Struthio camelus: one gene and its partners. The protein of the gene in region 1 interacts with the protein of each later gene in a biochemical or structural test. Links are inferred from orthologs where the notes say so. Each region holds a gene or a part of one and is shown in the gene's direction. Other genes may lie near its edges.

Region 1 (10,268 bases):
TAGTAGCTTTTGAATTTGTAATGGAATTTTAATATGCTATTATCTTAGATTCAGTCCTGCATCTCTTAACAGGCAATTTTTTGCTGATGTCAGTGGGAGTTTAGACTGAATTACATACAGTTGCCAAATCTGGAGAGTTGCAGATACAGGGTGTCTCTTTAAAAGCAAGGGAAGTTACAGACTATTTGTCAGGATTTGCCCTTTTTTTTGGCATGTGTTTTTTTTAACTTGCTCCAATTCCAGTTCCAATATACATTCAAGTATCTTCAAGACCAAGGGAGAAAAGCTGTATTTCTATGCTTTTAACTTCATCACATGTTTTCAGACATACTAGCTGACTGCTGTGTCTGAAATATAAGCATGATCTCCTTTTTTTTTTTAATTAATTTAGTAGACCTATATTATTTTGCTTGTGCTAAGATAGGAAAAAAGAGAAGGAGAGTCAAGAGTATTTTGCTGCATTTATTCTTATTTAACAGTGTTGCATTTGTGGTTAAGGATGTGTTCGCAATGAGAAAAAAATTTAGAGCTTGATTGGTTAAAAACTATTTGGTTCATTTGTATAGGATTCAGATCTGTTTCTAACAAGACTGGAAGAACATTGCATTTTCTGTCTTGTATATATCCATCTTTGTAAATCTCGACACTACCCACCATAGCTGCTAGCAAAACATCTGCCTGAATCCCTCTCTTCTAAGGACACAGCTATCAAGACAGACCATTCTATGCTGAAAATAGTTCTGCTTGTTTAACAGTAGGACTAAAAACCAATTTCTTTTTTCAGCATCGGTTCAACTTCTGCTGCTGAAAAGGAGAGTCATCCAGAAGTGAATTTTCTGGTATAAAGGCTTGAAGGGGTTGAAGACCTCAGCATCAATAAATGAAATGTTAACACGATGGGCTTCTGGATCCAAGAATTACTCAAACTTGTAAAAGAAACGAACAAATACCTCTTATTATAAGAGTTGGAGGAACAGATAAATTTATCTTAGTGTAGTACAAATATTCTCAGGGAAAGCTAATAATTAAAACTTCTTTGTCGATCTTCTGCAGTGCAGAGTGATAGTTAACTAGGAATATCACCTTTAAAATCAGCACTAGAGTCTAAATACTTAATCTTCTCAGAGCAAATGAAGACCTTATGGTTTTTGTTTGCATGCATCTAGGGAAAAACATATTACTAATTCTCTGAACTCCAAACAAATCGACGTGAGAGAAGCACCCAAGTAAACTCTCTGTCCATAGTATTTTCTTCTTTTCTGTGTAAGACTTTTAATGTTTTTACTAACCAATATTAGATTAAAAAAAAAATTATTTGAAGTGCTTTTTGAATTTACAAGGATGGCTGTTTTGGGGTTTGTTATGGCTTGGTGAAAAGCTGGAATATGCTTTTTGTACCTAGAAGTCCATAAAACCAGAAACAAACACCTCAGCTAGGCACAGAAAGAAGAAACAGGGAAAGCAACAGGAAATTTGGTTCTTGACTGGCAAAACGTTTCCTAGAGTACTTGTGAAATCAGGGAAAGCGTTCCCATTACTACAGTCCTTTGAAAGATGCAATCGAGTTCCCTACAATGCCGCTCAGTAAGAATTCAGCTCCCATCCTGCACCAGCTGCCTAAGGTAATGACAAATGGAGCTGTTACGTCCTTCCTCCTCACTGTCCGCTTGAACAAGGCTGAGAAGAATCTGTCTGCAGAAACCATGAAGTAACCCCAAAATGCACCAAGTATTTAAGCTGTGGGAACAGTTTCCTGTTTCCTCCTGCCTGTTCTGCACATTGGAGTCTCCTACGCTGTTTTCCAGTTCTGTACCATGCTCAGTTCCACATCGCACTTGTTGGACTGAAGACTGGCCAGGGCTTGCAATGCTAATGAATTAATGCTTTTTTGCCTTTTTACTATCAGTGCTTCAACAGCAGAAGTTTTTTAAAAACACCTTTCCTCACAGATTTGAAACTGGCTTATTGAATTCATTATGCTTACATTTAACACATTTAATAAAATCTGTGCCATTCCTAAGTAACAGACAGCTGAATGGATTTATAATCAAAAGAACGTGCTTTCAAGTAAAATAATTCTGAAAAAAAGACTAAGCCAAATTCACATCATGTTAAGTGAAAAAATTATGTCCCTGGCTGAAGGGCAATAGTCTTTTAATATTTAACATGGAATATTTATTTTAGTAACAGTACCAGAAAAGCACTCATCTAATTGCAAATATATTTTCAAAAATATATTTGGCTTATACACTGTACTGTGGATTTTAGACATATGAATTCCAGAGACTGAAAGGAAGAAGGATATACCAAGATGAAAGCCCTATCACATGGATGACCTTCTCCCTATACATACCTCTTTGTTCTTAAAGAGCTTTTGATATTTAAGACTTGCATGTCCCAAGTGATTCCAAGACCTAATAAGAAATTCCTGGAGAGGAAATGACAAAGAAAGCAGCTGGAAGACTATCCAATTCATGACTTATTTAATTTCTTTTTAATACAGCTCTCTTCATCATGACAGTCAGTCTTGAACTACCACTCCTATATTTCTCGCTAGCCTTCCACATCCCTTCCTGTCCAAGTGTTGAATGAACATATGTTTATCTTCAGACTTTACTTCAGTGTCTTTGAGTGCTTCTCTACTTACAAAATAAGTACCTCATGTTACCAAAAACCGACGCGTCCAAGTTTTTGCAGATTTGACCAATCTTGACCAAGTGAATTGTCTGTTACTGATAACAAGCTTGCTGAGACCCTTTGTGTCTTTCTGACCACCTATCAGCTGAAGTGCTCATCTTCTGGTTTAAACAGATATCTCTACCTACCCCATAAAATAAAACAAAATAAGGTTTGATTCTTCATGTTTTACTTGACAAAAATCTTAGGTTAAATTTTCGCAGTTCGATTCATTAGGGGGTGTACAATTGGGTTCTTCAGGCACTATATAAAGAAAAACACTTCCATCACGTCCAGCATCACACGTTATGGCTGGGCTGCTCAGCAGTCCCCCTCTCACACACACACCACTGTATGATCGTAAAAAAGGAATTTTATTCTGCCCACATTGCTCTTATACTTTTGTTGTAAATCGTATGTTTCAAAAAATACTTTACACCTGTATGAATTTGAAACCACATCCTAAGCAACATTATTTCCGGCCTGACTATTGCTTGAGGCATCTTAAGTACGAGTGCCTTAAAAAGTACTAGTTGAGAAGGCAGTTCCTGTGACTTACTAATTTACTCATCAAGAACTGGATGAAACAATCGATCCATTTCACACGAGGAATCAGACAAATTTCAAGGTTAGTGGCTTTTGCTAAATTCAGGCATACTGGATTTAAATCAATACCCAACATCTGAAAAGCACGGGATTGTATTACCACATAGATTATTATTTAAAGAGATGCTAGCTCTAGCAGTTTTAGCTCTGGTTGGGAGCTCACATGCATGTCGCATTCTTCTTCCATATTGAGTGTCTATTCTGTTGCTATAATCTGATAGCAGACAGAGTGGAGGAACAGCAGACTCATATTTTCCTTTGAAATTATAAACATAAGCATACAAGTTCTGTATTGCTTGGCATGAAAGCTGTGATTTTGTCTTTCTTGCAGACTGTCTTTGTTTTGGACACTGACAAATTTTTCTGGATGAGGGTCATCGGAAAATTTTTTTCTAGAAGTTTAGTAAGACAAGACCTGTATTTTTAAATGCCTAAGACTGTAGTATCTGGCCGCCTGCACCTTACGAGGTGTGCCTTTACTTGGTTGCATTTTAAAGGAGCCTGCAAAGTTGACAGGTTTGAAATTATACTTCCTCTTTTGTTTTGCTATATGGGATAGTATGCAGGCTAAGCGCTTGCCTAGCAATCCATGAGTCTAATGCATATGAACTGTTCTTGCAGAGCCAGTGCTCTCATTTTACATCCTGAAGTGGTAACTCTAAAGTGGAGTACATGACATTTATGAATCCTATCTGATACTAGCATGCAAAAACGGAGCTAGACTGTGGAGAGGACAACACAGTAAGCAAGCCGTTGTTTCCCACACGATATGTACATGTGGCTATTTGCCACTCATAAGTGAGATTGTTTCTCAATGGTTACTCTCTAGAAATGGTTTATCTGGGCAGACCTCTTCACAATGGCAATTGCTGATGTGTCCTAAAGGGTGTTTTGGTCTACTTGCAACAGGAAAGTGAGTAGGTTTGTATGAGCTGTATGATCTTATTTGCCCCCTACCGTTGGCTTTACGTGCAAAGTTCTTGATGCAGAGGGTCCAATCGATATGGTATTAAAGGCAAGACCATGTCAACAAAACAACCGCTGTAATTTTGTTGAGTAAATGATTGAAAACAGCAGCCCACGTGGGAACTGTGGGGACTCCTTGTCATATGGCATACCATCATCAAAGCCCCTTCTGCACTGCTGTTGGGAGACACCACTTGAAGACAGACAGACAAGTTACGACTTTGCTAATTTGCCCTAATGACGAGGAGCTTGGAAAGCCAATGCAAATCATGGCCTTTAGCACACTTACCAATGAGCAAAGCAGCTCACTGCAGAAGTTATACTCTATCCCAGCCTAACTATCTGGGCTAATCTTTAGAGATACAGGAAGGGGAAAAAGCAAACCAACAATTTCGTCCATTGCGGTGGCACTACCCCTCTCCTGGCCCTGGCACGCCAGCCTTTCCAGAACTTAAACTATCTTTCCGCATAACTAAAAGGCCCCTTCAGGGCCCTCATTCTTCCCCTACAGTGGGGCGGCAATTGCCTCCTCGTTGCCCACTCCCGCTCACACCGTGGTCCCCTTACGCCACGTCAGGCAGGGCCGCTAAAACACTCCTCCACACCCCCTGCTCTGCGCGCCCTGCCAGCCATCCGTCCTCCGGGGCACCGGCCCCACCAGCTCCCTGGCCCAGCTTTCCGGCCCTCTGCCGCGCCCCCCTCACCCCACCTCGGCGCAGCTCAGCCCCCACGACGCCTGCTTGGCCACTCTTCGCCCTCGCACCTGGCTAGCGTCTCCTGGAGGAGCTCCTGCGCCCTCTCGCCTGGCAAAGCCACGCCGGGCACCCGCCTCTCCGCCTCGCCCGGGGCTCCGCCGCCGCGCTGGGCGGGGGGAGGCAGCGGCCAAGGCCTGCGCGGCCGCCCGGGGAGGGCAGGGACCACGCGGGAGGAAAAGCAGGCCCGGCTCGTTCCTCCCGGCCCACTTTCTTTCCGGGGGGCCCCGCCAGCCCTCCCGCCTACCGCCCGCCTTGATGAAGGGCGGAGGCGGCAGCCGCTGCAGGGGGCGGGAGCGGGGGGGGGGGGAGGCCGCGCCAACGGCCGCTGGTCGCGCGGGGGGGAGGGGGGCGCCGCCCCGCGCCAACGGCCGCCGCTCGCGCGAGGTGGGGGGGGAAGAGGGGGCGCCGCCCCGCGCCAACGGCCGCCGCGCGCGAGGCAGCCCGGCAGCGGCCGTTGGTGCGCGCGGCCGCGGCTGCAGTGATTGGAATGCGGCCGGGGCCCCGCCCCACCCCGCTCCGCAGGGACGGGCCGCGCCGCGCCGCGCCGGGAGCGCCGTGAGGGACGGAGCCTGCGCCGTGCCCCGGCCCGCCGGCCCTCCCACCCCCCGCCTCCCCCCGCACACCCCGCCTTCCCCGTCCGCCCGGAGCCGCCGAGGCCGCGGGAACGGCCTGCGGAGCGGAGCGAAGCGGGGCGCGGGCCCCCTCCCCCTCCGCCTTCGCTCGCCGCCGAGGAGGATGAGGAGCCCCCGACGCGGGTGAGTGCGGGGGCCGCGCCGCGCCTGCGTTGCCGCCGCGGAGAGGCGGGCATGTCGGGCCGTCGCGGGACGCCTTGCCCTGGCCCGGCGGAGGGGAGCGGGCGCCGTCGGGGCTGGCTGCCCCCGCCGCCCCGCGCCGCTGCCCGGCGGCTTTCCGCCCCTCTGCGCCCGCCGGTGCGGGCCGCCGGGCGCCGCGCAGGCCGCGGGTCCCCCCACCCGCCGCCCTGCCCCGCCGCGGCGCTGGGGGCGCTGCGCCGGCCCCGCCGCCCTCCGCGCCGGCGCTGGGCCGCGGCCGAGGCCGAGGGTGGCGCGGCGAGGCGCTGCGCTGGCGCCGGGCACGGCGCCCCTCGGCCGCGTTTCGGCGGCCGGCTGCCCCCGCGGCGGGGTGGGCGCGGGCGGGGGCCGGCCCCGGCCCCGGCCCCGGCCGGCAAGAGAGGCCCCGCTCGCCTCAGCCAGGGGCGCGCGCAGTAAGAAGCGTCGTCCGCCGTTCGTGCGCGCTTGGAGCCAAGTTACGCGCCGCCTCGGTCGGCCTGTTGCTGTCGGGTTATACGAAATAAGGAACAAAACTCTTCCCGCAAAGAGCGCTAGTCGCTGGGCCTACCTTAGAAGTTTTACTTGGTACGTTGACGGTAGAGGTCTTACGGAACAGCCGAAGGCTGTGCTGTTGAGTTGCGGTGTTCGGTGTCTTCCTGTAACTGATTGCAAAACCTAGGGAAGACGGTTAAAAACTTGCATGGCTCCCTACGGCCCTTTAGTTTTGTGAAAGAAAGTGAATTCGGCGGCAAAGAATGGCATTAAAGTGTGTTTCCGTGGAGCAGTCACCTGTCGTTTTGTGCTGAGGTTGTAGGGTGATTCTTTCCAGTGTGGATTGACTGCCTGTCTGACTCTTTTCATTCTCTGTGGACAGGTAAATATTTAGTGAATTCTTCATCCAGGTAGCTTCGTTGCAATTGCTCAGAGTCTGTTATCTGTAGGGATGAAGAAACTGCTTTTGCAGATAAGAGGAAAGTCATCTGTTTCAAGAAAGTTGCCTGATTTGTAGTAGAAACTAGTACTGGATAAAACATTGCGTGAGAGTAATTTATAGTCAGATGACATTGCAGTCTGCATGCAAAAAAAAATCTCCGTGTTGTGGCATTTGTAAATTGTTGGCAGTGTATTTGTCTCTTGTTACTGTACTTATGTTCCTTTTGTAACCTTTTCTTAAATTATTCAGTAGATTTAATTTTGTTATGTAAGTGCATGTCTGTGTTTCATATATATTTACATATAGGTGCACATGCATACGCCACAGTGGGCTTTGAGTTTTAGTCTAAGATTTTTTGTTGAGGATCCTCTCGCGTAGAGGTAAGGTTCAGCAGCCAGACTTAAGTATGTCCTATGGGCTCCTCAGTTCCCTTGACAGGGAATATATGTGGCTGGAGCTGCATCCTTCTTTCTAAAAACATGAAGTAATTTAGGTTGGACGGGACCTCTCGATGTTATGTGATCCAGCCCCTACTCCGTGTAACTTGGATTTTACTCATTAAAAGTTGTGCTTAACGGAATATTTTGCAGTTAGAGCTGCCACGATTTCTTGAAGTCATTGTAGAGAAACTAACTCCTAATGTTTTTGACGCTGCTTTTCAAAATCCTTACAGTGAGAATTGTGTGCTTTGTTAGGAGAATTAAAAATACTCAATATGGTAGAGTGTGTAAGCAATGTACCTACTGCTTTCTGGCTTCCAACATTTAGGAATCAGGAGTCTAAAATGTAGGTAGCATAACTAAAATAATTAACTTTATTCTTTCTGGTACTTCCTGTAGTTATTGAACTACTCCCTTATTTAAGTATTTTTTAGATGTGGATTTTAATAGCAGTATCCAAGTTTGAGAAAATAAAATGTTGACCACATTTGGTATTAAATATTGTGCCTTTTTGGATGTGCCATAAACTAGGTCTGATAATTTCTTTTAAAATGGACAAGTGTTTGCCATAGATGAGCTTTACTGGAGTATTATGCCAATAAAAACAAAAAGGATTTTGAAGAAGTAATAGATAGCTTTGTCTACTTCCTGGAGTGCTGAAAGGCTAGCACTTGATGGATTGCTTAGTGTTGTGGGGTTTTTTTGTTTGTTTTTTTTTTAAGTTAGGAAGTATGTTCTTATGCTTCTCCAAGAAGCAAGATATAGATTATGCAATTATATAAAGATTAATAAAAATATAGGGAAGGATTTGCTAAATATTCACTATTTTTATAACGACGGATTAGTGTAAGTTATCTTCATATTTTAGAAGAAAAAAAGTAGTGTGAAAACAGTGATGTTAAACCACTCTGAATCGAGGAAATCTCTCTTAAATCATTCAATATAATGAAGAACTTCTGCAGCTTTCTAAGGCATTGTGAAGCGCGAATATGTTACAGCAGATAAGAGGAATTCAATAGGTGCCCTCATAGAAGGGGTCAAAGAAGAGATACTAGCGCTTGCATGACTTTTGATATATCCAGACTTTCTAAGAGAAACAAACCCTGCCTCTCCAAAGACCTTGAAAACAAAACAAATCAAAAAGGGAGGTGGGAGCCTGCCTGCCTTGTTTGTCTTTGTGGCTGGTAACTTTTCTGATGAGGACAATATCTGTTTCCAGTAGCAGATGATGGCTGAGCATAGCAACTTCTTTGGCAGGGTGTTGAAAGGTGTAGATGGATAAATGAGACAAGATAGTGCGTGTGGGGTGCGGAGCACATTCAAAATGTGTATGTTTCTTCTGTGCTTGTGTAAAGGGTCAGCTGAAGATCTGCCCTTTCTATCTTGGCTATCTGGGAAAGCGCTTGATATTTCTTGGCTCCTCAATAAACAGGAGGCATATCTTCAGTGCTGGGGTCTTACTTCACCCACCTTACTGTCTTCTGCAAACAAATGACAGAAGGAGCTCAATAATTTAAAGGTATATCACTTCAGAGTTGGAATATTTGGACACTGGTGCAGTTCTTGCAGCTTGTTTCACTTGTTAACATTCCTAACCTGCAGAGTATAGTGTTGGGGGTGGGGGGAGAGGGAGGCTGAGTGCCTATATGTCTGTGTGCATGTCTACCTGACAGCAAACTTTTCCTTTAGCTGATGGAAATTTAGTGGTTCAGTTGTTTTTGTTAGATAACGTCTTTGGCAGAATCTTCACTCTGTTTCTTCTGCGGTTACTCTACCAAACTTTTTCTGATTATCCCTAGTCATGGTGATGTCATTGAGTTATCGTGTGTTTTGTACAGTGTTTAATGCTTTAAAGGGAAAGCAAAGAATTTCCTTTTGCCTGTTTTTCTTGCAGTTGCTTAAAGGTTACAATTAAGTCTGGGGAGTGATTGATATTCTCAGACAAAATTAGAATAGTTTTGCGTATTCTGAAAAATGTGTCTAACTGAAAACAAATGTAAGATGTTACCTGCTATACTGCAACCCTTTAAAAATAATACAGAGACGGGAATAGGTGATCCTTGAAATAAGGCAAAGAGCTTGAATCGTCACTTAGTTTATTCTCATTGTAAAGAAAGTGCTGCTTTAACGTTCTAAATGCTCTTAATAAAAAGGTAGACAAAATTATTTTGTGAGGGATTCAGTGAGAAAAATATGTTTAATGTTCTTTACTCTAGATATCTAATTGTCAAAAGCTTTAGTGTATAGGGTACAAGCAAATAATTGGCCTAACACTGACCAGGAAATAGACTAGGGAACAAGTTGCCAGCTTTCCAGCCCCAAGAAAACAAAACTAAAAATTACTGTGCTTATTTTCAGTAGAGAATGTCATCCTTCTGCAAGGAGGGTAAATTTTAGTTTCCTTTCCTTTCTGTGAGGGACTATGTCCTGACTGATAAGGCAGTAGGTTACAGCCACCTCCTAGTCCAACTGTTGCACGAGGTGGAGTATCCTAATAAGTCGTGAAAATCTAAAAGACCAGCATATACTGAAGTGTGTTGTGATAGGTTTATGACTAAAATATTTTAGACCATGGTATTTTTGGTATATTGAGAAGACTGAGAACTTTATGTTATTGTAGTGATAAGATGCATGAGTTTCTGATTATGACCCCATTGTTCTGGTTTTGCACAACTGTTACGGTCAAATCTTTTGGATTTATAACACAATTTTCTTCTTTGCCAGTTTCATAATAGGTGTCCTGTAGTTGCCCTTCTACTTAATTTGAGTCCTATGGGTCTCATTCAACTTTACTGTTTTACAATAGTATGGTTAATAAATATTGGGCATAACTCAAAAAAAGTACGTGAAGTAGGAAAATAAATTCTGCTTCATGGTTGTGATCATGGATCTGCAATATATGAACTTTATCAAAGGAAAAGCAACAGCAAAGATTTATTTATGGTGTAGTGTGTTATCAACTTACAATTTTTCCAGTGACATCTGTTCCTAAACTGAAATGGATTGGCTTGATGGAGCACTTCCAGAGAGTACCTCAGTCAAGCCAGTTACTGAATTCGTTGATGTTTGTGTTCGTTGGGGGAAAAGAAAGTATTCTGATTGG
Region 2 (9,804 bases), on another chromosome or scaffold:
GCAGGTCAGAACCAGTTATTATTGTTCGCTTTGAAAACAATGGATAGGTTTTATGTGCTTTTCATACATATCAACGTAAAAAAAAGATATTGTCTTTACCTTCAGTGAATACAAACAGCAGAGAACTAAAAAATATTCCAGAAGACATAAATATAAGTTAATAAAAAGAATCCTGATAGTCTGATGATGGAGTGTAGAAGGAAAGATTGCTGTTTATTTTAAGAAAACATTACAGCTAAGCAGACTTTCAGAGCCGCATTTCCAGGATGCCTTAAGTCTTCTCCTAACAATACGACCCATAACTGTGTTCCCCACATACTTTTCCACAAATATATGCCTAAGGTTTCACATATTCAGATTACATCATTACCTATGAAGGCAAATGCTGGGCTTGTGCCAAAAGCCTCAACCAAATCAAACACGTATAGAAAAATTTAATCGCGCAAAATTAAGACTGAATTTTGTTTGTGCTGCTTTGGCAATACATGGACCTAAAAGTGGTTCTGTGTTAAACAATATCCATATATATACACATATAGTCCACAGAAATACGTTACTCATATAAGCTTAAAATATACATATATTACTGGAGTATACTGCTGTACGCATACACACACACACTCATACCACCACACAGTTATGTAAAAACATACATATATAACATATGCTTATATTCATACTGTATATAAGGTGTGTATAATAATGAATTTTGCCCAATATCAAAACCACATATGTTTCAATGATATGAGCTTGGTTCTAATGTTGTCTGGAGTAAATAATAAGAACTAAAAAATCCCCCTGGAGATCTAGCTTTGTAAGTTAAGGCCTCAGCTTGGCTCACCTTATGTACTTGTTGAACCTTAGATTCCGCACTATAGTCCCAAATCATAAAGCCAAAGATGATTTATTATTTTTAGTTATTACTAGCATCTCCAGAAGTTATAGCACTATTTCATACCTAGAAGCCCATTCAATTTCTGTCTCTCCTCTGATTAGTAGCAACAAGAATCAATACTTCAAATTTATAACTTAATCAGCACAGTCCAACCCAGCACAGCCTAGCCCAGATCTGTTCAAATTCTTGGATTAGAGTTAATATAATGGCTTATCCATAATGTGATTACTTTCATGTTGATGAATCTGTTCTCAGTAATAATGCTGAAGAGATGAACAGAAACTTTTGATAAAGGTAATCCAATATGATGTAATAAAATAGGCAAGCTGATTATGCATTCTTATACAAATAATAATGCTACTATTTTTGTTATATAAGTGTTTTGCGTGTGCAGAGCCCAGAAGAACAGTGAAAAATCAGAAAACTTGCTATTTTAGTATGAATATTTGGAAGAAGAGAAAAGTTTGCTATAATTCTGGAGGGGGAATTTGTTCAAGACAAATGAGAGAAGATGCAAAGCAGAATGGAAAAAAAACATGGTTAAAAGTTAAAAAGAAAACATCAAAGCAGGAAGACAAGAAGCTTGAAAATGATTCAACAAAAAAGGGGAAAAAATGTTTCATATCTGATTTTTAAAAACAATCATGACATGAGTTTGTAAGCAGAACCTAGGATTTCTACTGCCCATATGGTAAATCTGAATGCAAATGGCCAAATTCTGCCCCGGTATATTGTCTAATATGGGTACACGATGATGGTAACAGCACATACAAATTCAGCAAGCGCACATGCCTGCACATTTTGTGCATTTCATGTTTAAAAACTGCAACCTTCATTTCCAAAATACGTGCTTTCAAGCATATGGATTTCGACACAGGCAAAAACAATGGCAGTAGTTGGTACAAAAATCAGATAAGAGCAGACACGCAAAGCTCAAAGAGATCAAAAGTTGCTCAATTGGTAACGTGGCTTGCGCAGAACCTCAAGGGAAGCACTTCCATTGGGAGTTTGTTTTTATAGAAATTATCTGAAGCAGCAAGTGCCAACAAACAGGGATTACTTCATCACAGGCATTTGGTTTTCCTGCTCAAGAAGAGAAGAAGAGACCAGAGAAGCAGAGAAGAGTAAGAGGAAAAACTGGTTTCTTAATTGATCCAGGAAGGAGGAGGAAAAAGAGGATGATGACATGTAGGTGCCAGTATTTCAGTAACCTGTCGGCAGCCTGTGTGGAGCTGACCCTCTGGGAAGCAGGACCCGGTTTAAGTAGCACGCAGGAAAGGAGGGAAGAAAAAGTAGCTGCCTATTAAAAAAAAAAAAAAAAGGACAATCCAGTTGGCTTGGAAGGTATTTGAAATTCAAGCTCAGATCTCTCAGATCTGAGCGTTGAACCACTGCAGTGTGAGCAGCAGCATCCCTTATTGTACGGAGCAGAATAAATGCTGCTCTTTGTTGTGCCCCAAAGCGAGCTGCAGTGAATAGCCATGAACCTGACATCCAAAAAAATGATTCCTTAACAGATTCCCTTTCTCATCTCACATTTATTGACAGTGTTTTTGGTACACCATGTTTTAAGAACACATGCAGGGAGTACCCCTGCTGCAAACCATGATCCATTTATCTAAGGGTGTACCTGTTACAACCACAAAAAATGTTAAGGACTGAAAAACAGAACCACAGAAAATACGGCTAGAACAGAAAAAACTCCCTCAACTATTCCTATGAACGCACGGCATGCAGTTTCAGTATTCTCCCTTCTTGAAAGAAATCCTCTATTAAATCAGTAAGTTTCTAATGTTGGCCAAAACCAGACCACTTAACCAAACCAAACAAAAAGGAAACAGATTCAAACAAGACCTTTTTGAAAAATATGTCAAAGAAGTTTCAAGGTTTGCTTTTCTTCTGCTGTTTCTTCAGTGATGCATACAGCTACAACATTCAGTTACCTACATGAGGATCCAGCCCTCCCAAGTGATATTTTTCTTTACTTTTCCTCCAAGAGTGCTGTCATTTAAAAGGATTACACTGACCTGAAATTTAGTCAGTTTGAAAATGTGAGCTACAGGCAATTCAGGTGCATAAAATTCGGGCAGCTGGTACACCTGCTCTAGAGTCCACCGTGCCAGCCTTAAGGACTTTTTAACCTCACTGTCCACGATCAAACCAATTCTCCTTCCCCTCCTGCTTGATGAAAGACCAAAACTCAGAACTTGAGAAAAACTAATGGCCCCCAAGGAACAAAGAAGAAATGAAATGAGGTTATGGGCAGCTGAAAGGGAGCGCGGAGGGATGCTGAATCCCTTGCTTGCCGTCCCGTGGCCAGGGTACGCCAAGCTAAGGCAGCCCAGCCCGGGCACCCTCTCCTTGCCCCTCGCTGCCCATTCCTGCGGCCTCCCTTGCTCCAGCTCAATCCCTCCTGTAGTCAGTCAGATCAAGGAGCTGATCCAGCAGAAAACTAATGCAGCAAACACAACACAGGAATGGATAAAAATGTATGTATATACTTTAAAACAGACTCAACTTCCTGACTTGTGTGTGGATATAAGTGCTAGTATCAGCATAGAGAGGGGAAGCAGCATGCAGCTGAAGGTGCAGGTTAGGGTGGCAGGAGGAAAAACGTCTTTTCTAGGAGTAGCCTGGATTTAGATCGGCTTAAATTGATCACGCAACCACACCCAAGGCAAGAGAAATTTAGGCAAATGCCTCCCTCTTTAAGAGCAGGTTGGTGCTGCTTCTCAGGAAGTACAAAAGATGTCAGAGTGTGATCTTAATTGAGCATCCAAAATGCAACTACTCAGGCATTGCCGTGGGGAGAAACGGGAAGGCTGCCACAGGGGTGGGCTTTATCCCCCACCCCCATGAGCACCGGGGAGCTTTGCAAGCGTCCTTGTGCTGCCTGACGTGGATGTGCCTGCACAACCTCCATCCTCCCCATCCCCCCAGAGCTTGATCCATTCTTAAATGTGCCTTAGGACTGAGTTAGAAGTTTAATGCTGATTCCACCACTTCTTCAGTACCTACATGAGTCATTCAATGCTATGCCTCAGTTTCCCTGTAATTAAGAGGTGCACACACACACACAAATAAAATCACTCGATGTGTTTCCCATGCAGCTCTTTTAACCTACCTGCCATTTACACAAGGATTTTAAACATGAAGAGCTAAAAAAGTGCTAAACATTAGTTTCCAGAACATATGCAGGATCAGGTGCTGGATACTACTGGATACTGCTCATCTGAAAACATCAGATGAATAATCTACCAAAGAAACAACACCGACCTCCTTCCCTCCCCTTCCCTATGGAATGAATCTTAATGTTAGCATAAACTTACTGTATTTACATGGTTCCTGCAATTATCTCGGGCTGGATTCAGTGCCCCAGATAATCTCTCCCACCCAGCGTTCCCCTCTCTTTCCAAGTGACGTTTGGGAAGCAGTAATCTACATTTGCTCTCTGAGATTACTCCTGCTATTTACTGCGGCAGTAGACATCTACCTGGACTAATGAGGAGCAGGACTCCTTTGTTCTAGACATTATACAGGCAGCGAGTTCAAAAAAAAAAAATCACTGCTTTAAAAAAGTTGATAATCCAATTCAAGACAATGTGCCACAAAGGGGCATAGCAGAAAGTGGAAGAAGAGGGGAAGGTGAGAGAGAATGACAACGGCATGCCATACGGCTCCCGTGTGCACAGGTTCAGGGTTCCCAATCCCGTACGGGTTGCTGCTTTTAGAACTGTAAACCGACAACTGCCCCCGCCCCGGGTTTCTCCAACACTTTTCCACTAACTCTCCTCGCTGCCAGCTGGAAAAAGTGACCTGGGGCTCTTCGCACACACACACGCATGCCTATGTGAGTGTACATGTAATCATCGTGTTTTAAACAATCCGGTGTTGTTGCTCTTGTCCTGGACAGACTGTCCCCAAATGAGTGTACTTAAAAAAAAAAAACCGGGGGGGGGGGAGAGGGAGGGAAGAAACATGCCTGCGTGCGCCTGTCTGCGCCGGGACACGATACACTTACATGCCTAAACTATTTCAGGATTGGGGCCCCTTCCTTGCAGACGAACCACCCTCCCTGCTGGGGTGTCGTCTCCTTAATGACGTGCGCGCTGACTTCGCCGCGGGGGCACGGCTCACCCTCTCTCTCCCCCGCGCCGGCAGCCGCCACAAACATCCTGCGAGGCAACCTGATCAGAGGTTCCTCCTCCGGGCAGCAGCGCGCCTTTCCCGTCCTTCCCCAGCGGCTCGGGGCTGCGCAGCCCCGCTCCTCCCACCGGAGCCACCCTGCTGCCGCCGCCGGCCGCGGGGCCGCAGCGGGCGCTCGGCGGGGCCGCGGCGTGCGGGGCGCCCGGGCAGAGCGCCGCGCCCGCCGCCCCCCGCGCCGCGCGGGCCGCCCCGCGGCCGCGCTCGCCGCCGCCGGGCCATGAGCGGGCAGCGGCGCCGCCGCCGCGGGGGCTGCCGGCGCCCGCAGTGAGCGCGGCGCCGCCGCCGGGGCCGCCGCGCATGGTGGGGGGCTGCCCGCGGCGGGGCAGCCCCGCGCCCCCCGCGCCGCCCCTGCGCTGCTGCCGCCGCCGCCGCCGCCCGGCCGCGATGCCGGCGGCGGGGCGCGGGCAGCCCGCCTCCTGGCTCCTGGTGCTGGGCGCCGCCGCCCCCGCCCTCTGGCTGCGCTGCGTCCTGGCCGACTTCACCTTGGACAACGAGGTGCACTCCAGCTTCATCCACCGGCGGCTGCGCGGCCCCGAGCGCCGCGAGATGCAGCGGGAGATCCTCTCCATCCTCGGCCTGCCGCACCGCCCGCGGCCCCACCTCCACGGCAAGCACAACTCGGCCCCCATGTTCATGCTGGACCTCTACAATGCCATGTCGGTGGAGGAGGGGGCGGCGGGGGCCGCCGCCGAGGACGGAGAGGGCTTCTCCTACCCCTACAAGCCCATCTTCAGCACCCAGGGGCCGCCGCTGGCCAGCCTGCAGGACAGCAACTTCCTCACCGAGGCTGACATGGTCATGAGCTTCGTCAACCTGGGTGAGTGCCCAGGGGCAGCGGGAGCTGGGCCGGGGCCGGGAGGCTGCAGCGGAGCCCCGGGGGTCTGGTGGCACAGGTGTCCCCGGGGCAGCCATCTCCAAGGGGGATGGCGGTGCCAGGCGGGTGGCAGCCAGCGCTGAGGGCGAGGAAGGGCAAGTTTTGGCCCTTGGGAAGGCAGCTGCTTTGCTCGGTGCGAGTTAACCGGCAGCAAGGTGGGGAGGGTCTGTCTTTCTGTCACCGCACTTGGACAGCCACGAGCGCGTGCCGCGCTCCACCCCGCACGCCGACACGCTCCGTTCTTTGTCACCTTCCCCCTTTCGGTAGTTATTTGCAGCGCCTCAGAGATCGGATTTGCAGGTATGAGCTGAACAGGAAAACTGGCAGGTCTGTGCCACATCCTGAGCCACCGAGGAGGACAGAGCACCAGGCAGGACCGCGGGCCGGGGCACAGCTCGCGGTGCCAGGCTCGCGCCCGCGCGGGTGATGCCAACACCGCCAGGGCTGCCGCGGTGGGTAGTTCCCGCGGCACGGAGAGCACGGTGCTCGCTAGGTTGCACGGGCCAAAGCTGCAGGCGGATGTTGTCTTAACAGCTCGAGAGGGATTCCCGAGTAAATCCCTCGTTACTCCTGCCGCTCTTGCTGGTCACCCCAGTTTAGGCAGCTAACTCGCCTCTTTTCACAAGCACATGTGGCTGGGTTTATGCAACTAATGCAAAAGCTGGCGTGCTGTGTATGTGGCTCGCTAGGCCTCTCTAATTGGGTGCCATGGCCCAATCTGATTTCTCTTTGCCCGCTGTAGATTGCACACCCGTTTGGGCTAACTTGGCTGGATTTAGGGAAAACGTTGTCAGGATGAACATTCTATTTTAAATATAAAATTACAGACCCTGCTTCACTCTGTCCATTTTTAGAGCTCGTCATGTGCAGCCCTGAAACCACCAAATGTACAGATTGGGTGCCTGCAAGTTCAAGGCAAAATTTGTATAGTATTTTCAAAACAAGGTCGACTCAAAACTTTTGCCCAGACAAAGGGACACACAAAGAGCAAGAGGAACGCACCTCCGGCACGTAACAGGCTAGCGACTGCAGAGACCCTCAGCATCAGCAAATCCATTAACACCTTTAGGGATGCCACTGTTCTGCACACCTCGACTCTCTGCAGCTTCAGTGGCGACAAAAATTAAATCACCGCCTCTCTAATCCCAGCACTTAACTAACTGCAAAATACCGGTAGCTGTATAAGCTCCGTGACACACATTAATAACTATTAAATACGGGGGCCATCCCAGCACAATTCTTGCATGATGCTGGGACCTGGGACACTGTGCTAGAGCTCTAGTTTGCATGAGCTGCACCTTCTTATTAAACACCGTAAGCTTCACAGCAGGCATCTATGAATTACGTTTGGCCTTGGGGCTGCGCTAATACTTTCCATTTAGAATTATAGTGTTTGTCTAATCACTGCTAGATACTTAAGCCGATCAGCAATGATACATTTAAAATCAAATATTTGAGCAGCCAAAAGTACCACTGGTGGTCAAATATTTGACTTGAGAGATAGGAGTGATCTTGCTAACATTGTTCGCTGTGGCACTTGGGTGCTACACAATGTGCAACCAAAGTGCAGGGAGAGTCGCTCACATGACAAAGGATGTTGAAATAACTATAGCAAAACTCAGACTCTGTTTTCCTTTTGGTAAAGTGGAACCTTTAGGAAAAATATAAGCGACTAATGAAGTTTATCCTTAGGGAAGCTGTTGTACTCCTGTTGTTTGTAGCTCTTTGCTGCATAACTTTTCATCAGTACACTCCAGCACTCCAGCCCCCTGCTTCCTATGCAAGGAAAGGCCGTCTTTGCAGCCCATGGAAAAGGAATAAAAGGGCTTAGTGTTCAGGTCCCAAATGCTTTTGAATACAAACGTTTTGTGATCAGAGTGGGACTGATCAGTAAACTAGAAAACAGAAATTACATTGCGGATGTATCTACTTACAAGTGAAAACTTTTTTATAAAGCAGCTTTCATATAAACTATATGTAGTCGAAGTATATCCTTTTATCTAATTGCTGTCAGCGTGGCCAGCGAGTAGTAAGAGGGCAGGAAAAATCCAATGGTTTTTAGAAAGACAGGTGGAAAAATTACCAGCAAGGCACGTTTCAGAGGTTTATCTGTACTGTTTTGTTCCCTTGTCAACAGTGCATGCCAGGACGAGTTTAAAAAGGACATAGATCTACACTAGCTTTCTTCATCACCGTGCACACCTTTCATCCCATTATAGTCATCGGTCTTTCATCTTTATAGGACAAAGACAGGCTTGTTTATGGACGTTTTAATGAATTAGACCAGCCACTCACTCACGTATATAGTCAAACACAACACCTGCTTTGATATGTACAGTTTTCTATGACGTTCAGGGAAAATTAGAAGATCTATTGTATAACTGCTATTTTTTTGGAGACTTTCTACAATGATCCCTTTTAAGCCAGAGCTGAATTGCTAAAGGCAGACTATAGTAAACTGTGTCCTAGTTTTGTAAGAGATACCCTGTGAGCATTGCGTTTCACAGGTAGGCTTTTATTACTGTACTAGAGCCATCACAATGAGGAAGTGTCATAGCGTAATAAAGAAGTTTCCTCTTAGTAATGGAGGAAGTAAAAGTGAGTAAAGAAATAATACCTTTAAATTTCAATAAACAAGTTGTGTTAATCCAGGCTTCCAAATACTAATCTAGCAGTACACTTTTTTTGCTTTATTCCTAGTTCGTCATCTATCTGGTCATACAACTTCAGAGAAAGCTAGAAAAATTAAAGATTTACACCGAAGTAAATAAGAGCCCACATAGTGAAAATAAATAAAAAATAAGAACAAACCACCTCACTGATTTCTATGGAGATGGTCTGCATATTTAATCCAAAGAAGTTACACTGGGTATTGGTAGGGAGGAACCGGAATACAGGTGCTCCATTTCACGGTTATGTTGGAGGGAGCTTTGAACTTGGCATGTAACGTTACTGTAAAATCTTGACAATTAATTAGGTTTAGATTTATAACCACTTAATTCACAGGCTACGTTTTGTCTTAACTTACACCTGTGTTAAGATGGATGGGAAATGGATTTGTGTCAAGAATGAAGTTACATATGTATTAAAAGAGAATTTGGCCACAGTGGTCTGACTAAGTTGGCCAGTTAATTACTGACTAATCTTACAAAATTTATTACTATAATTTAATTAGTTGGAATTTCATTCCGGATCGTGTGCAAATAAAGTTTACAAACTGATCCATTTCAAGAACTTAACTGAAAAAATACAAAGCATTTTCTGCACATGTTTAATTTCCAGTTTATAAACAAACTAATGAGTAAATACCTGCTGGATTACTTAGAGCCACTCTTCTGAAAATAATTGAGTCGTCCTTCTGCGGGTAATCATGACTCGGTAAACACGCTTGCTCAGAATACTTTTAAAAAGAGTGATATGCAATTTGTTAATTTGTCTCATGGTCGATTATAAAATGGACAACACTCTTTCATCTTGGCAGAAAATGGGGGGGGGGGGGATTAGTCATTCTTGGAAGGAGCACGTGAAAGTGACTTTTGTTCCTGTAAATCAAGAAGCCGAAGAGCCCCCAAGTTTCCTTTTATTTCGTACCATCTGGCTGTCCGTTTTGTTGACAAGTGTTTGGCATAGCGAGCCATCTCTTTGCCCTTTCCTAACAGGCTTTAACACTGTAGGGTATTAGAAAAAGATTCTATAACAGTTAAAAAATTTCCTTCGGGGAATACTTTATAAAGTGAGCACGGGCTGCAGGCATTTGCAGCTGTAACCTGGCTTGTGTTAAGATTTGGAAGGGGCTGCCTCGCATTCCAGCTCACTACGGGCCGTCACT
Region 3 (9,884 bases), on another chromosome or scaffold:
TTTTGAATATCTCCAAGGAAGGAGACTCCACCACCTCTCTGGGCAACCTGCTCCAGGGCTCTGTCACCCTCTCAGGAAAGAAGTTTTTCCTCAGGTTCAGACGAACCTTCCTGTGTTTCAGTTTGTGCCCGTTGCCTCTTGTCCTGTTGCTGGGCACCTGTGAGAAGAGTCTGGCCCCATCCTCCTGCCACCCTCCCTTCAGGTACTTCTACCCGTTGATGAGATCCCCCCTGAGCCTTCTCTTGCCCAGGCGGAAGAGGCCCAGCTCTGGCAGCCTTTCCTCCTAGGAGAGATGCTCCAGTCCCTTCCTCATCTTTGTCGCCCTCCGCTGGACTCGCTCCAGTCTCTCCATGTCTCCCTTGTACAGGGGAGCCCAGAAGTGGACCCAGTAGTCCAGGTGAGGCCTCAGCAGGGCTGAGGAGAGGGGCAGGATCCCCTCCCTCCACCTGCTGGCAACGCTCTGCCTGATGCACCCCAGGAGACCATTGGCCTTCTGGGCCACGAGGGCACCTTGCTGGCTCGTGGTCACCTTGTCGTCCGCCAGGACTCCCAGGTCCTTCTCGGCAGAGCTGCTCTCCAGCAGGTCAACCCCCAGCCTGTCCTGGTGCGTGGGGTTATTCCTGCCCAGGTGCAGGACCCTGCACTTGCCTTTGTCGAACTTCATGAGGTTCCTCTCCGCCCACCTCTCCAGCCTGTCCAGGTCCCTCTCAATGGCAGCACAGCCCTCTGGGGTATCAGCCACTCCTCCTAGTTTTGTACGGTCAGCAAACTTGCTGCGCAGAGAGTGCGCTCTGTCCCTTCGGTCAGGTCACTGAGGAATACATTGAAGAAGACTGGACCCAGTACTGATCCCTGGGGGGACATCACTAGCTACAGGCCTCCAACTAGACTTTGCGCCACTGACCACAACCCTCTGAGCTCTGTCATCCAGCCAGTTCTCAATCCACCTCACCGTCCACTCATCCAGCCCAGCCTTCCTGAGCCTCCCTATGAGGATGAGGGTTTTCAAACAAATCAAATGCAATGTATCTACACTGCCGGAGCATAACACTCAAAGCTCATGAATTTGTCTTCATCAGCATGAAACCAGCACAGTTTGGGTTCCCTTCCCAGTCAGTTAATAGTCTTCAAGGTCTCAAGGAGTGATTGTACCTCTCTAATCTCATCAGTGAAACATGAGCCAGAGAATTTCACTGTGTCATTCCTGCTTACATGTCAAAAGCTTACATGTCAGACTCTACCTGGTAGAAGAGGAAGTTATCCCATCTTGACTTACAGACTTCAAATGAGAAAGAATTTACCATATCCCAAAACAGCTTATTCCAGTGGTTAACTCTCTTCCCTGCTAAAAATGCACCTTTTACTTTTTAAACTTTGGGATTAATCTTTTAAAAATGTCTTCATAACTGTGAAGTTTTGAGATCTTTTTTAATTTTTAATGAGCCTGGAATTCTTATATAATAACAAGCTGTTGGGAAATGAGGCTTTGAACAAAACATTTAATAATGCAAGACCGGTGATAAAATGAATAGAGCTAGAAAGACTGATCCTGCCGAATTACCTAGTCCTCCCAATAGGAATAGGCAATGACTGAGCTTTATTGTTTTTACTAGCAGATAACTGAAGATTATCTCTTACAATTTTCTGGAAAAGAGTGCAGTCTGATCAAAGAGACTCCTATCTGGCAAAATGAAACAGATTTAAAATCTGTTTATCCTTTACAATATTGTGCTAAGCTTCTCTTGGTCCCTAATGGGCAGCAGACGACTATACCATGCACCTCTAATTGGAGAAGCTCATTGCATCTACTGGATCTGTTTGTAGTGAGCCGCTTGCAGGAGACAAAACCTTGGCATGGGAAGTTGCCTGTCTCCTAGGGCGGCTGGAAGGGGAGCAGAATTCCACGTCTGCCTGGGTCCACCCACGCAAACAGGAAGGGGGCCGTGCCAGATGATAAGTCCAAGTTACCATCCAGGGGAACGAGATGCCAGAGAGGATTGTTTTCATTTCCATGGGATTTCTAATTAAGGGACATGCTTTAACTATGTTTTCAATGGCTGAACATCCAAATGACAGTTTGATATGAGCAATTTGTCTGGCAGGCTAGATAAATTCATACCAAAGCTAAAGGATTTTCCGTTTAAAATGGGTGCACATCCTTAACTGTGAATCGGATCAAACATTCTTGTAACTAAAGAATCCTCTTTATGTAACAACTTTTTTTTAAGCTTCATTCTTTGCAGTTTTAATGATCAAAGTCTCTTTTTCTCCTGATTTGTCCCCAGTCATTGACTCTGCAAAGTGCTTGTTTTTTTTCTGAACCCTCATTCTTGTTCCAGTTTGATGAATGAAGGGAAATGTGTATTCCCATTTCTGCTGTCCCACCCAGCCTTAATGAGCACTAGCATTGTCTAACTGACTCCTGGGGGAATTTGCTACCTGCATAGCTGTTGGGCTGGGCTCTTGCAGCTGGATTTCTTTTGATGCATTATTTTCTAGAGATGTTATCCACTGTCTTGTGAACAGGTAAAGTGAGGAAAAGGGGCTGGTGTATTTCTGTCTGGGGAAATTAGGCAAAATCTGATTAGGCTATTAGCTGTCATGTAATTATGGAATATTGGAAATCACAGAATGACAGAATGGTTTAGGTTGGAAGGGACCTCTGGAGATCATCTAGTCCAACCTCCCTGTTCAAGCAGGGTCCTCTAGAGCATATTTCCCAGGATCACATCCAGGCGACTTTTGCATATCTCCAAGGAAGGAGACTCTACAACCTCTCTGGGCAACCTGCTCCAGGGCTCTGTCACCCTCTCAGGAAAGAAGTTTTTCCTCAGGTTTAGATGGAACTTCCTGTGTTTCAGTTTCTGCCCGTTGCCTCTTGTCCTGTTGCTGGGCACCTGTGAGAAGAGTCTGGCCCCATCCTCCTGCCACCCTCCCTTCAGGTACTTCTACCCGTTGATGAGTTCCCCCCTGAGCCTTCTCTTGCCCAGGTGGAAGAGGCCCAGCTCTCGCAGCCTTTCCTCCTAGGAGAGATGCTCCAGTCCCCTAATCATCTTTGTCGCCCTCCACTCATGAAAAATGCTGCTTTGCTTGAAGGATATACTGCCTTTTATTGCATTCACAGAAATAAATCGAAGACATGGTGTACATGGCCAGCAGAGATGATGTGAGCAAAAATTAGGTGGGTTTATACGAATCGTAGTATGAAGCTCTCTTGATAACTTTGCCAGCTTCAGCTAGAAGGACTTTGACTGACATTTGTTGTAGTTTAACTCTGAGAACTGTGAGCTTTGAGGGCTATGTGGCTGCATAGTCTCCCTTCCCCGCATCGTCATATGACACCACCCAAAATATGTCTGAGTGGAGAATACAGTTATTTTTGGTACTGTCCCAGAAACTTATCAGGTGTAGTGCAATTAATGAATCAAGTGCCTTAAAAACATCTGTCCAGAAGCAGCAGATACTCTTTTGGTGACTGAGTACAAGAATTTCATTCAGAAGACTGACATGCAAAAAGCTTTTTTTACATCGTTTCTTCATGGTGTATATGTGCTGCTGCTTCCAAGGACATGGTATTTTTGCTGTACCAATGAAAATCTGCCTGCACCTGGGCAAATCACAAGACTGAAAATTCTCAGTTTATATGTGATCAGTGGAGATTTAGCTGAAATCCTCAAGGGGTTAGCCTGCCCCAAATGTTACTGCTGCACAGGCTGTTGCCACAGCCTCCCGCCATGGTGCCTGAAGGGGTCTGAGAGCAGGACTGTAGAGATGGCTGCTCTAGGAAGGAACTGGAAGCTGGCTTTAGAGCTTATTCCTTCTATGCCCTTGTTTCTTGCCACATCAAAAGTCAGAAAATGTAGAGGAGGAATCTATGACTTGTTCAGAGAAGACCAGAGATAGCAGAAAGGATGGGGGAAGGAGAAGATGGGAGCAAGCAGTCTTCCAAGATTATGTGTGAGGCAGTGGGGTGAGCAGGAGAGGTGGAGACTAAAAAGCCACAGGAAACTGAGTCTGGGTAGGGGTAACAAGATGGACCCTGTTGGCTGAGAAAGGACGCAAAGAGGTGGAGACAAGAAACTGGATGAGGGTAATAAAAGCAGGAATGCATTGGACTGAAAGCGTTGTCCATGGCAGAGAAGGGAAGTAGAGAAGGTTGAATGTAGAGGGGGAAGCAGGGCTAGAGAACCAATGTTTATGGGAGAGATATATAAATAGAGTGGGGACTAGCTGGCCAGGCAAAATGCAGACAAAGTTTTATGAAGAGAAGTGAGACTGGGTGTGAAATTGAGACCTCAAAGAGATGACCCTGGGAGGAGACCAGTGCTGGCACGAAATCTAGAGGTGGATCTCAAGCAAGATGAATTTGAAAAGGATATGTTGAACCAGTCAGGCTTTGGGACAACAGCAGCCATTTGTCTCCAAGCTGGAATGAAACCTGGAGCCAGGGGCACACCATCCCATCACTGTCAGCAAATATATCTGAATTCCTCTGACCTCTGAAAGTGAAATATGTCTTTTCCAAGCCTGTACTGCTGTTCTGCAGAGAGGATGGCAAGCAGCTGTGGGAGTCAGTGCTCTGTTTGCTCAAAGGGATGAGGTATGCAGGTGACAGAATACTTCTCTGCTCATTAACTGTATGTTATCAATGTGCTGGATATTTTGTTTTTTCAGTGTGCTTATTCAGAAATCTAGAAAGTGCAACATGAAGCCAGCTATGCTGGAAGAACTTCACAACATGTGAAAGAGTAAGGAGAATAAAATAATGAATAGATGCTCAGGAATCAAGTATCATCTGTAGTGGAGAATGCCTAAAGCTGATGGAGAAAAAAAGTGGGCTGAGAGTAGAGAGAAGGCTTGTGCATCATTGCCTGTAGTCCACGGACTCAAGGCATAGGCAGTCTTGATCTGCATGTTTTCTAAGTCTGGAATGATTGACTTTGCAACTGTAGTAACATTCTCTGAACGTAGTCTTGGTCAATAATATAGAGCAGCAGGTTAAGGAGGCAGGGAAGGTTTATGCTGTTCAGCAGGGAAGAACGTGAGCAGATAAGTAATTGGAGATAAAAAAAGTGGAGAGCCCATCTGATCCATCATGGCTGAAATAGCTGTGTTTATTAGTAAAACCGAAAGAGAAGGACTATCTCTGTGTTCTTATTTTCTATAATAGGAATGTTTGAGAGTCCCAGAAGAGATCCTTCTCCAGGAAGATGGTGTTTGCATTGAGAAGCCTACAGCCTATAGAGAAGGCGGGCACAGAGCAGGAAAGGAGCAAGAGCACTGAGAGGTAAAGCAGGTGGCAATGGTTAGCAGCAAAGCTCATCACTGAACTTCTGAATCTCAGTGCAGTGATGTGTCTGTTAAATTGTACTGCTGTTTGGGCTTGTAATGAAGCCAAAAGGAGGTCTGAATAAATGTTCAAGACTAAAAGCACTATGGGATTTCTGCCCTAGAAACCAGAATCCAAAATGGGTTGATTTTATTAAAAGAAAAGTAAAGAAAAAAGCAAATGGATCAGAGCCTATTCTGAGTGGTGCTGCTGCCACCAAAATACACACTGAACGCTCTGTAAGGAAAGGTGAAATCTCATTAAAATGAGCAAGACTACAGGCCTGAGCCCTGTTGGGAGATGCAGGCATACTGAAAGCTGTTTATATTGGCTAAGAAATACACAGGTTAATAGCAGTTTTAGCATTTACACAGGACCCTGCAATGTCCTCAATGCTTTACACAACAAATAAAAAAGTTGTTAATTACTTGTCCTGAAGATTTATATAATGCAGTATTAGTAAAGTTGGGACAGCACGAACAGAAGCGTTGATTGCTGAACGTATGCAGGCTGTTATACCCGGGAACACACCAGCTTTGTGTTGTTCCTACCCAGACCAGCCCCTTGCTCCTAGGGCATTGATTTTACCCAATGTTTGTGCAGTCAAATTCCATACTAGATTTAACAGGAATTTATATGAGTCTTTTTGTATACAAATCTTGAGTCTTCTTCCCTCCAATCAAAAAAATCTGAAAGTGCCAATTACCTTACCAGATTTGTTCCTAGGATTTCGATGGTCATTTTAAAAATGAAAGTTTTCAAATTAATTTAAGTGCTGCTTATTTGGCTTTCAGTACAGCAATGTTTGTCTAGTAGCAATAAAGCAATCAGAAGTGAATCTGGTTAGTTATGTCACAACTGAAAAAGAGTATGACAGCATATGTTTTAGTTGAGTTTATTTAGAACATCCTGCTGCTAAAATCAGCCTACAGAATGGTCAAATTTCATAAAAGTAACATTTGGACTATTTGTGCTCAATTAGACGTTTATTTAAAATTTCCTCTTGGTTTACTGATGTAAATGTATTGTTCATTTTTCACATACCAAGCACTGTTGTTTAGTCTCAAGGGAATTATTGTTACAAATTTAACAACTGTGACATATTAAAAAGCACATTTAAGGAAGAAATTAAGGGTTGAGAGGATGTGACCAAATGTTTCCATGGTGTTTTGCCAAAACGTCACTTAAATGCCAATGCGATTTTAGTAAGAGTTGCTCTTTCAGAACTCATCTTGCCCACGAAAAAATAAAATAAATCTCGTCTGCATAAGAGGCAGGCGTACTTTCATTGCACTTGCCGGAAAATCATTTCCTAAGTTTTATTTTCATTTTGGGAACTACTTTTAACTACTGGCTGATTATCATGTTAGTTCTCTGTATTAGGCAGCTGATTAGCGAGGAGGAAGTCGATAGCTTAGTGTGGGGAAGTAAAAATGTTCAAATTGGATGCCTCGTGTAGGCACCTGCATCCCTAATTAACAACTAGCCGATAATGTCAGGAACTGATTTTCAGGAAGTTCTTTGTTCTTTGAAAGTCAGGCCCCAAACTGAGCAATGAAAAATAGAAACCTGGGACATCGGTGATTACTTCTGAGAAACTCAAGCCTAATGTCAGAGCAAGTTGTGAATGGTATATGTGCAAGTCTGGGAAACTGCATCTGTGATTGTTTTTCTATAATTTTGATTGCCTTTCTAAAGTTATCAAAATGGGATTGTTCTAAGAAGCAGTTTCTCATGTGTGTTCTGTAAACAGAGAGCTTTCTGGGAAAGTGGCTGTAGAAGGCATTCCTGGGAGATACATCCCTAGACCTGAGCACTATCATCTGAGCATCTTCTTCCAGCTGCCTACTATGGGCATCACGACTGCTTCAGTGCTCAGCTCAGCAGCATAAGGAGCATTGTAGGCGCTCTTCTATTTAGAATGATTTGATCCCTGATGACGTAACTCAGGCTGGGACTGAAGACCCCAAGCTGAGCTAAATGTGCTCCTGGACCCATGAGCACAGGTGGGGGGAGGCCCCAAGTCAGGCTGGTCAGGGCCATTAAGGCCCATTAGTGCCCTCAGGGCCCCGACACGGAGAAGCCAGAGAAGCCGTGGTGATGCTGATGTTAGGTGCTCTAGTGGGCAATTTGAAAAGCAGAGCTATGGTTCCTCTGGGTTGCAAACCTCACGCAGGATCATTCACTTTGAGATGATCAAGGCAGTTTATGGTGGCCAGACGGAAGTGCAGAACAGTAACACCCCTTTTCCTCAGAGGATGGGGCAATTGTTCAGACATAGAGAAATGTAAAATGCATGCTCTTTAGGAAGAAAATGAGTTATATGAGTAATTATCCCTGGTGGCTGTATTCCATGATGATGGGCTGACTGGCAATCGATAGCAGAGTAGATCTGTATAGCAGAGTTAAATATCTGTTCCTCTTAGCAACTTTGCAGAATTGCACTTTCTTTATGCTTGTGCCTCAGCACAGGTGAGTAACTTGATGCAGCCAAATCTCACACTTTCTGAGCAATGCTGAGTTATGCGAACATGCCCTGTGTAAACAGCAGCCCCTGGGAGAGAAGGGGCTCTGGGAGAAACAGACCTCGGTGTTGTTTGCTTCTCCCACAGACAAGCCTGGGTGCACTCACTTCTACAGCCGTGCATGGTAGATTTTGTTTATTTAGCTCTCCTGTGAGGCCGTGATAATTTATGTCCAGGAAAATATCATTTCTTTCCTCTTTGTCTTGAAACCATTAATTATTTTCAGTTGTATTTAAAAAAAAAAAGTGTAGGAAAAAACACATATGACAATTAACAATTGCCAGAGCCTCTAGGCTTTCCCGAGCCTTCTCCTGTGAAGAGCTTGGTCCTGCCACTTGCTAGGTTGCATTTGTCAGATGTGGAATAAATATGGCAGCACGTGATCAGTCATGGGTGCATGTGGGGAAGCACTGCAGAGGACGGTGAGGTGGATTGAGAACTGGCTGGATGACAGAGCTCAGAGGGTTGTGGTCAGTGGCGCAAAGTCTAGTTGGAGGCCTGTAGCTAGCGATGTCCCCCCCAGGGATCAATACTGGGTCCAGTCTTCTTCAATGTATTCCTCAGTGACCTGACCGAAGGGACAGAGCGCACTCTCTGCGCAGCAAGTTTGCTGACCGTACAAAACTAGGAGGAGTGGCTGATACCCCAGAGGGCTGTGCTGCCATTGAGAGGGACCTGGACAGGCTGGGGAGATGGGCGGAGAGGAACCTCATGAAGTTCGACAAAGGCAAGTGCAGGGTCCTGCACCTGGGCAGGAATAATCCCACGCACCAGGACAGTCTGGGGGCTGACCTGCTGGAGAGCAGCTCTGCCGAGAAGGACCTGGGAGTCCTGGCGGACGACAAGGTGACCACGAGCCAGCAAGGTGCCCTCGTGGCCCAGAAGGCCAATGGTCTCCTGGGGTGCATCAGGCAGAGCGTTGCCAGCAGGTGGAGGGAGGGGATCCTGCCCCTCTCCTCAGCCCTGCTGAGGCCTCACCTGGACTACTGGGTCCACTTCTGGGCTCCCCTGTACAAGGGAGACATGGAGAGACTGGAGCGAGTCCAGCGGAGGGCGACAAAGATGAGGAAGGGACTGGAGCATCTCTCCTAGGCGAGAGCTGGGCCTCTTCCGCCTGGGCAAGAGAAGGCTCAGGGGGGATCTCATCAACGGGTAGAAGTACCTGAAGGGAGGGTGGCAGGAGGATGGGGCCAGACTCTTCTCACAGGTGCCCAGCAACAGGACAAGAGGCAACGGGCAGAAACTGAAACACAGGAAGGTTCGTCTGAACCTGAGGAAAAACCTCTTTCCTGTGAGGGTGACAGAGCCCTGGAGCAGGTTGCCCAGAGAGGTGGTGGAGTCTCCTTCCTTGGAGATATTCAAAAGCCGCCTGGACACGATCCCGGGCAATGTGCTCTAGGTGACCCTGCTTGATTAAGCGGTGTTGGACTAGATGATCTCCAGAGGTCCCTTCCAACCTTAACCGTGCTGTGATTCTGTGATTCTGTGACTTATTTGCTTGCAGAAGGGATGGTGAGGCAGCAGCTCCTCGGAACAGTTCAATGGCACACTTGTAATTTGCATGCACTTAGCGAGGGATGCATCATTATGGAGCCATTAGGGCCCGTGGCTTGGCAACAGCTGTGACATTAAAATGTATAAGATATTACCAAAGCAAGCACTTGGCAAAACTTTTTCGGCTTCCCTAGACATAAACAACCCATTTTCTCTACAATGGTAAGTTATGACTGGGGGTGAGTCACTAATATATTTAGAAGGATGTCCTCTCCCTGCATGGAGGAGACCAGAGTTGGCTAAATTAAGCCAAAACAGGGTAACCCTCGTGGCTGAGGGGCACAGTGGGGAATTCCCAGATGGCTTCCTGAAAGCTGTGTTTTACACTCTGCTGCCAGGCAGCGTGAGAGCTGTGCACTAGGAGTGCTTGTGCCTGGGCAGTATAGATCTGCTAGCGCTATAAACTGGTGTAGCTGTTTGCTGTCTGTGCAGATAGACTGATTCATATTGGCTAAAGGATGCTCTCTAGGAGCAGA

What was found.
Region 2: the proteins of BMPR1A (region 1) and BMP7 form a complex in vitro, tested with the Homo sapiens proteins (2 studies listed by BioGRID). The link is inferred for Struthio camelus from reciprocal best matches to the Homo sapiens genes BMPR1A and BMP7.
Region 3: the proteins of BMPR1A (region 1) and BMP4 form a complex in vitro, tested with the Homo sapiens proteins (3 studies listed by BioGRID and IntAct, with this or other methods). The link is inferred for Struthio camelus from reciprocal best matches to the Homo sapiens genes BMPR1A and BMP4.

Annotation. Positions count from the first base shown.
Region 1 is NC_090948.1:33,511,964-33,522,231, reverse strand, and holds the start of BMPR1A (bone morphogenetic protein receptor type-1A), read left to right. Parts: upstream 1-5,549; 5' UTR 5,550-5,758; intron 5,759-6,357; exon of another isoform or gene 6,358-6,376; intron 6,377-10,268. UniProt on the Homo sapiens protein: On ligand binding, forms a receptor complex consisting of two type II and two type I transmembrane serine/threonine kinases.
Region 2 is NC_090959.1:12,811,540-12,821,343, reverse strand, and holds the start of BMP7 (bone morphogenetic protein 7), read left to right. Parts: upstream 1-5,398; coding exon 5,399-5,918; intron 5,919-9,804. UniProt on the Homo sapiens protein: Growth factor of the TGF-beta superfamily that plays important role in various biological processes, including embryogenesis, hematopoiesis, neurogenesis and skeletal morphogenesis.
Region 3 is NC_090946.1:79,892,076-79,901,959, forward strand, and holds the start of BMP4 (bone morphogenetic protein 4), read left to right. Parts: upstream 1-5,173; 5' UTR 5,174-5,210; coding exon 5,211-5,287; intron 5,288-9,884.